2 linked regions of the Xenopus tropicalis genome follow. The protein of the gene in region 2 interacts with the protein of the main gene of each other region in a biochemical or structural test. Links are inferred from orthologs where the notes say so. Each region holds a gene or a part of one and is shown on either strand. Other genes may lie near its edges. The genes, in order: lmnb1 and tmpo.

Evidence for each region.
Region 1: the proteins of tmpo (region 2) and lmnb1 form a complex in vitro, tested with the Homo sapiens proteins (2 studies listed by BioGRID). The link is inferred for Xenopus tropicalis from reciprocal best matches to the Homo sapiens genes TMPO and LMNB1.

Annotation. Positions count from the first base shown.
Region 1 is NC_030677.2:168,270,308-168,274,742, forward strand, and holds the start of lmnb1 (lamin-B1), read right to left. Parts: upstream 3,108-4,435; 5' UTR 2,881-3,107; coding exon 2,522-2,880; intron 1-2,521. UniProt on the Homo sapiens protein: Lamins are intermediate filament proteins that assemble into a filamentous meshwork, and which constitute the major components of the nuclear lamina, a fibrous layer on the nucleoplasmic side of the inner nuclear membrane.
Region 2 is NC_030679.2:51,508,382-51,512,850, reverse strand, and holds the start of tmpo (thymopoietin), read right to left. Parts: upstream 2,933-4,469; 5' UTR 2,860-2,932; coding exon 2,635-2,859; intron 1-2,634. UniProt on the Homo sapiens protein: May help direct the assembly of the nuclear lamina and thereby help maintain the structural organization of the nuclear envelope. Possible receptor for attachment of lamin filaments to the inner nuclear membrane.

The sequences.
Region 1 (4,435 bases), on a different chromosome or scaffold from region 2:
AGTGATTCTTACACATCATTCTGTGCTAAATCAGCAATACAGTTAAAGCTATCACGGAACGGGCAATATAAGACTGGCAAAACTCCTCCATTGGCATGACAAAAGTGTCAAGACTGATGAAACAGAGGTGATGTACGGTGGCTGGAAGGGTAGTGAAAAAGCAAAAGACTGTATCCAACTCATTTACATGGTAGAGCAACCTCCTTCATAGACTAAGATTAAGCACTAATACAATGAAAAGGATCGCTTTTTGCTGCATTAATATGTCTGGACAAGGGAAACAAATACCTGCCCAACACTGCAGCCTGACCCAAACCAACATATAATGAACCACTATAAACAGGGTGTCTGACTATTCAGTAGAAATATGCTGCCACAAAATGCTGCAAAGAGCGACTATGGAACTACTTGAATTTAAACATCACCAACCCTGGACTTCATAAAGTGGTGGAAGAATAACGGAAAATTAAAAAAAAGATTCTTTACATTCCTTGCTTAACCTATCTCCAGATGTCCTCTCAAAATCTAGAGAGATGTAAATTCTAAACTCATCATTATGGATTATAATAGGGGACCAGGATTTCCTAAAGGAACCTGGTGCCCCATTATTGTTAGTGAACCAATTTCTAATGACCGTAAAGTGTTAGACACTTTTTTTTTTTTTAAGAAATTGGAATCCCAGCCCAGCATTACCTAAAGGTTTGACATTTAAAGGACCTAAACTGTGTGCAGGTCACAGATGGTCAGACCTGTCAGTCAAGCTGTGCTGGGACACAGTGATCCTCCTATAGGCTCCAGTACAAACCTAAACAGCACTCCAGTCTACTGAAGGATTGCACCAGCCTAGCCCAGTGAGTGACAGATCTGACTCTTTACTTGTCAGACCATAGCTGGGGGCAGGGATGGCTGGAATAGGAATAGGTCAGTAAATAAGTAAATCCCGACATATGATCCAGCAATATAGCATCGGTAGTATCCGCCTGCCCGTTTATATTCTGCTAATTTTTCAGGAATCAGAACCTGAGATACATTTAAACTGAATTTACATTTTAAATGAATTAAACATTCAATCTTTTAAAAGTTGGGTCATAATGGAAAGGTGCTTAGAATTACAAAAAAAAAAAAAAAAAAAAAAAGGCTTTGGGGGGACATCTCCCATAAGCTAAAGGAATTAGTTGAAAGGCAAAAGTGAGCAATTACTTTATCATCTACAATTTAAAGATACTTCTGTAGAACTCGGCAATCAAAAGGCATTTGAAAGTTGTTTCTTTAAGTCATGCATTAAGAACTTAATATGCATCACTTGCGGAAGTCTATACATGAAATTAGCGCCAAAAGGAAGCCAGCAGCTTTGCACCGCAGGAAGGAAATTAAATATGTTAGGGTTTTGCAGAGTGAAGTTGTTTTCTGGCTCGCAATGAATGAATCACGGCAGATTAAGGGGATCAAATTCACGCCACTAAGAGAATGGCACAAAACCGACAACATGAACGAAACACAGAACAAGCAAGATAAAGTGGGAAATCTCACTATTACACTGAAAATGGTTGCTCCCCTGCCACTCCCATGTGCATATTTTACTGTAGGATAACCAATCGTAAGGGACGACAGTCTGCCAAGAGGAGCTAAGAAACAGCCCCTCCCTCATTAACAGACACCTGCTCAAAGGAGGATGTTCCAGAGGATTTTAAAGGCCACCCCCTTTGAGCTAAAATTTGTTGGTAAGCGGGAGAATGAATAATGGGCGTTTACTACAACCAAGATTAACCCCAAACACCAAGTGACTGCAGAATTTCCAGAGCACATATTTGATATGGGCATCTAGATCTATGCAACCCAGGCTGAAAATACTTTGCAGTTCCTCCCATCCGTCTCTAATGAGCAAGGGGACAACAGACACTAACCTGGATTTTAGCACAAGATCTACAATTAAAGGGGATGTAAAGCCAAACATATTGGACTTAAAGATAATTCTATACAAATATACATTCATTACAAAATTCCACTGATCTTACAGAAACCATTAAGTGTAATTGGAACTGAAAGAGTTCCCTTCTGTACATTGCTAGTGCTTTTGAAAAAATCTAGCAGAAGCCAGCCTTGCCATCTTCTTCCCAACTGGCTTCTGCTACATTGTTCCCAATGTCAGTGTCACTAGGGCAGAGAATAGTAAAGGACAGCACTTTCAATAAGAGTTATAGTTGCACATAGCTTTTACTGCCCCTTGGGTAGCTGCAGAAGAAAACGATTAGATACAGAATTATGCCCATCACTCAGCCACAGGGAAGGTTGTTATGTCCATGGACTAGCCTGGAGAGGGTTCTGGCAGGGCACTGATTGCCAGGGCAGCAGGAGCCAAGCTAACTAGCCCTGTCTTTTGATTACATTGCCTTCCCCCATATGGAACCGTGTCTTTGTACACTGCGGGTATAGGGCAGGGAATTCCAGCCGGCAGAACTATAACAAAAGCGAGGAGGGGGGTGATGGGAGTTGTAGTTCCACAGCAGGACCTGGTACTGACCTGGCACGGAGATCCTCATGTTCCACGGAGATCTTACTGAGCTCCAGCTGCAGGCGGGCTCTCTCCCGGGCAGTGTCATCCAGGCTCCTGCGGGCATCGGCCAGCTCGGTCTCATACAGCTCCTTGATGCCGCTCACTTCCCGGCTCCGCACCTCTTCCCGCTCGGTGACCTGTACATGGAGCAGGCTATTCTCGCTCTCCAGGCTGCGCACCTTGTCTATATACACGGCCAAGCGGTCATTCAGCTCCTGCAGATCCACTTTCTCCTGCAGGCGGCTGATACGAGTCGGGCTGAGCGGGGTGTTCATGCTGCTTCGACGGCCGGAGCTCCTGGGGCCGCTTGGCGTGGCGGTGGCCATTGCACAGTTGGCTTCTTCTAATGGTTATATAAAAGAGCGACGGTACCGGTTCTCAGGCTAAACTCTCCTTTATACTTGACGGCCGACACACACTCACCGCCGCACTGCCTGCAAACTTTCCCCTCCTGGGCACTCCACCCGTAGTAGCACACGCAGTCTAAAATACAAGTACTTTTTAAAATTGAAAAACCCCGCAAGGATTAAAATGTAAAATGTGCATACAATCGAATGGGTAATTTTGCAGCGAATCCCCCGCACATGCACTCGCACAGCACCTCCCCCACTCAGCGCCTCACACACTGCCACAGGCTCGGCCTCAATATGGCGCCAGAAAGGTCACGTGCTGCGCCCCGCCAATCACACAGCAGGACGCGCCCACTTTGTTTCCCTGAGACTAAATTCAAATTGAACATGATAATAGGGAAGGGAGGGTGCGGTGTATGTGATGGGGGTGAGGCGCTGCACACAATGGGCGAGGGAGCTGCACCGCCGCCTGTTTAATACGACTGATATCCCTCTGCTTCATACTGCGCGATCTAGGGTTAGCGTTCTTTTGTAGTGACCACATAGTCGTCAGTCGCTGTTTGAGAGCCCTATAGCGCTCGCAAAATTACCCCCGCCCTCAGTGGCCTGTTACTGTACTATATATACAGTTTGTTAGGAACATTCACTAGTAAAAAAAAACGTATTAATATATAGTAAAGCAGTAAGATATTTAAAAATCCATTGGGTTCAATAAAGACAATCATGGTGGATGTGTCTTTTGTGACCCTTTTATAAAAACCATAACTGCTCAAAATAACAATAACATTCTGAGTGGGCCGGGCTTGTCCGTTGCTGTGACAGGGCCCCAGCCCCTAAAGCAAAATAGCTTTGAGAAAGGAATGTATCTTCCATGGTCGTGTTACAGTGCTGGGGAGCCAGTAGATGTTTAATGACACTACCTGTTGTTTTACTCTCTGGTGTAGACTGGTTTCACTCAATGTCACTGTAGTCCCCATCCTTTATAAGTGTCCTTAATTTTATTTCACACCAACATATGCTATAGTGCCTTACATAGTCTACATGGCTCCCATCAGTCCCTTCCCCAACGGAGTTTACAATCCTATGGTCCTTATTGTAAACACTGAAAAACAAATACCCAAAAAGAAAGTTTTTGAGGGAGGAATAATCCCCCCCAAAATCATAGAGCTTGCCACAGCAGGCATAGCAACAACATGCATAAAAATATAACTTTTATTATCATTAACTAAAAAGAAACCAAAGCACGCAGAATACTAAAGTTAAATTATGTACCAGACTCCCCAATCACATAAAGAGCTATTTTACATTTATCCAAAGAACAGCTTCTGACAACATGATCTCAAACAATTTAGGCACAATCACACAACAAGATAAAATATATTTTAAATAAATCTCTGCCATAACGTCCTTGCTGTGAATACATACATAACATCCTGAAAATATGAAGTTCCGGATATGTAATATACAGTATGACGGTTGGTTACATTACCAAATTTGCATTAGAAGGAACATAACCACCCTACACGATAAT
Region 2 (4,469 bases):
TATTTAATAACAATCTGGCCCCTAAACATGAAAAGAGCAGATAATTCTGTCCAATAAATTAAGATACATTACAAATTAGATTTTATATCATGATTACAACATACAGCTTTTTGATTTATATCAAATGTATGTTTACTATGGCTTTATCACCTTTTTAGCTCTAAAGGTCCCCATACACGGACCAATAGTAGCTGCCGATATCGGTCCCTTGGACCAATTCGGCAGCTAATCGGCCCGTGTATGGGCACTCCCGACGGGCCTGCCCGACCGATATCTGGCCTGAAATCAGCCAGATCTCGATCGGCCAGGTTAGAAAATCTAGTTGGATCGGGGACCACATCGGATCGTTGATGTGGCCCCCGGACTGACTTTGTCTATGCCCGCCATTATAATTCGTTTGTTGGCCCCAGGGCCAAATGATCGAATTACCCTGGATTCTCCCGATATCGCCCACCCGTAGGTGGGGGATATCGGGAGAAGATCTGTTCGCTTGGCGACATCGGGCCAAAAATAATGAGGGTTTTTATAAAGACTGGGCAAATTTGCACCTGGGCAGTAACCTATAGTAAACAATCAGTTATTAGCTTTTTTTCATCCAGCAACAAATTCAGCAATAAAAGCAAATACCTGATTGGTTGCCATGGTTACTGCCCAGGTGCAAATTTGCCCAGTCATTATAAATTACCCCTATTGTGCTTTTGACTGCTGGGTCACCTCCATACTACAGGTCTGAGGCACTGCACCCAGACTATTGGAACAGAGTGGTGAATGGCCATGCGAGCATATTTTTTTTTATGAACAGTTACAGAAGGGCTCGCCTTCAGTGAAGGATCAGGGACAAGGCACTCGGGCCAACCTTGCAAAGTGGTGAGCGTAGTTTTTTTGAAGAGTCTCATTTTAAATTGGTTTTGACAATTTACCAGAAAAAAAAGTACTCAATAGTGGTTGGAGCAGAATATATATTTGTTGTACCCTGTGTAAATGCACATCAAGTTTCAATATGATAAGTGAAGTTTGACTTCACAGTTTTAATACATATTAACCCAGTTTTTCAGTATTCAAACTATCACAACATACAATTATAAGCGAACAAAAAACCCACATTTCTACAAATACGTTTCACATAAGACATTATCAGATCACTAACAACATAAATCCCATGTACCAGGATAAAAGTTTGAAGTACCCCATTCTTTGATAAGCTTATTTGCCTCATTATGGTGCTCAGAACATTGTATACATCTACACTAATGCCAACCATACATGACACTTTACATGAGACTGGCCAGTTTGTCAAAGTATTAGTGTCAGTACTGAGTGCATATTTAAAGAAGTGTCTGGCTTCATTTCGCGATTGTTCTTATCAATAGACATTTGATAAGATCAGGACACTAAACATATATAACTGTTTTATAAGAAACCAGTATGTGCCTGATTATTTAGGCTATGGACGTACATGTCTGACAAGCACCGGACACTGTTAAAACAACCAGAGACATGAGTACCCCTCTGTACATGCCAATGCTATATTGAGTTCCTCTGCCTTTAATATTTCATCCACTGTTTAACTGTTAATAATGAAAGAAAATGCACTTCTTTAAGCACCATATACAGCAACATTTGTTTGTTGATAGTCAGGCTGTTTAGAGTGAAGACACATGGAGCTACTAGTAGCAGCTACTTAAATAGACAATGCTGATCATTTACTGATAATTGTTTCAACATGTGTTTTAGCAGAGGCAATTCTCAGTATAATCCATGGCAGGGGATTTTTTGGCGTTTAGTAGCAGTGAAAAAGTAGCTGCTACTAGTAACTCAGTGTGTCTTCACCCTTATATCCCTTGCAAAACCAACTGTGCCCTCTGAAACAATGTAACAAACTAGGTGATACAGACCTGGGGAACTAGCTTTGGCTACACCGTTTCAAGCCAGATAAAAAATATATATCTTTTTAACTTCCAAGGGTACCGATTATTGATGCGACTAAGGATACCTGGCACAATATTGCAGCAGCGCAGAAATGAGTTGCATATAGAGACAGTGATATAAAGGTTGTCTTAGATAAAGGAAACGCGTTCCAAATCATAACACAGCCACTTCATTTATTAGGATGATGACTTCACGGGAAGGTTTTGGCATAAAAACTACCCGGGTGGAAAAAAGCGGGAAGAATAAAGAGATGTGTGGGCAGTAGGGGGCGCTCGGTCACGGCAGGCGGCGGGAAACCCAATCCGGGGATTCTCATTAGCTTGATTGTAAACTAAACATTACCTCGGCCACAAAATAAAATGGCAATCTGGCCATTTACTCGCCCGAACAAACCCCTCTAAAGTGCAGTCCTTCCTCCCTGCTTGGCGTTACAGCTTCTAACAGCTTGCTGCGAATGATGGGAATAGCGCCCAGCACCTAGCCTGAGACACTTGATAGAAGCCAAACTGTATGCCGGCTAACAGAACTGCGAGCTCCAGCCCCATTTATTTACCAAGAGGCAGCCATTGTGCCTAGCGCACCTGTCCCTCTTGCGGCCCCTGAGGCTTTGGAACAGATTCAGTGATAGAGTTGTACAGGTGATAGAGTTGCAGAAGTGCCAGAGCGGTCACACGGGGCACAATGGGCTTCACTTTAGCTTCTTACCCTTCCCGGGGGGCGGCCTCTGCCTCTCACAGGGGTGGCCTCCCTCTCCTCGTCACTGGAGAAGTCTGGGGTGCTGCGGTTCTGGGAGGTGAGGTGCTGGAGGTACAGTTGCACGTACACATCTTTCCGCTGCTCCCCGCTCGGCAAAGTCACGTTGTTCGCCACCAACTCGCTCTTGAGCTTATCCTTAGTGAGTACTGACGGGTCTTGCAGAAACTCTGGCATGGTGCAGCGCTGCCGTCTCCCCTCAATGTAGAACCCCTATCACGGCGAACACAAAACAATGAGAGGAGCTTCCAATGAACAGGATGAGAGGGGGGAATCAAAACGGAAACAGTCTGCTCAGTGGCAACGGTCGCACTACATTCGACGATGTAGCGCAACAAAGCGCGCCGCCATTGGCTGGCGGACAAACCAAAAGAACAAATCATTGGCTGGGGACTTTCTTTAAAAAACAATCGACAGCGCGGCCTTTCACAGCACAGTGTGAGCTGAGATAGGGTGGGGGGGATTGAGGGCCCGCCTTTATGTGAATGGCTCCGCTAGGTGCTTCCTAAGCACCATTACAACTCGTATAGGCAACTAGCTCATGTTAACGAGCGTTAGGGCAGTGTTTGCCATGTTTTATTTACATGTTTAGAAACATTTATTTCATGTTTAACTTGTTTTTAAAGACCTAGAGGTGGGCGTTGAAAGTACGCTTTCTGTATTTGCTGATGGTACTAAATTCCTATGTAGGATGCTGTCACTTTGCAGGTAGATGTGACAGATTTGGAAAACAGGATCAAAATGGAAAACCAGGTTCAGTGCTGATAAATGCAAAGTTATGCACTTGGTACATAGTGTAGTTGTGTGTTGGTAGATTCTTTATAGAGAAGGTGATTTTTTTAAAGGAGATAAAGTGCTGTCTTGCATTAAAAAGGCATTTACTCAAAGTATTAAACATTATTTTGCCTCTTTATAGGTTTCCTAGGCCATACCTTGAATATGCATGAAAAGGCATTTTATTGGCAATAGATTAGCCACAAGTGTGCAAGCTAGAACACTGTATTTATTCTGCAGAAAGCTACAGTACCTGAGTAAACAGCTCTAGAACCCTAGAACCCCCCTCTGTTTTAGCTTGGTCTTAACTTCTGTGTTGCAGCTTTGGCTGCTGGTAACAGCACAGTTGGAGTGAGAGATAATAGGAGGGGAACAGGAGAAGAGAATAGGAGAAATAAGAAAATTGAGCAGACTCAGGCCGTGGCCTGAAGGATTTTTCTGAGAGAAGGAAGTCTGATACTGAAGAATGTTTGTACACAAAAGTAGAAATTAAATCCTCTGTTTCTTTTGATAGAGGACTCAGTGTAGCTTTTCTGTGGCTGCATTTACATAGACCTTGCTTAATTAGCTGTTGCCTTTCATTCTCCTTAGAGAAGGATATTAATGAGCTGGAGAGAGTGCAAGGATGTGCAACTAAACTGGTAAAAGGGTTGAAAGATTTAAACTATGAGGTTAGACTATCAAGGTAGGATTAGTGTTCTCTGGAAAAAAGGCACTTGCAAGGGGACATGATTACTCTATACAAGTACATTAGAGGGGATTATAGACAGATAGCAAGGGGATCTTTTTTTCCCATAAAAACAATCAATGCACCAGAAGCCACCTGTTATATTAGAGGAACAAAACTTTCATTTGAAGCAGTGTAGGTGGGTTTCACGGTGAGGGCAGTGATGTTGTAATGGCAGATTCTGTTAATGCCTTTAAGAGGGGCTTGGATGATTTCTTGAACAAGCATAGTATCCAAAGCTATTGTGATACTAAAATCTACAAATATTTAGATATTGGTAAATATA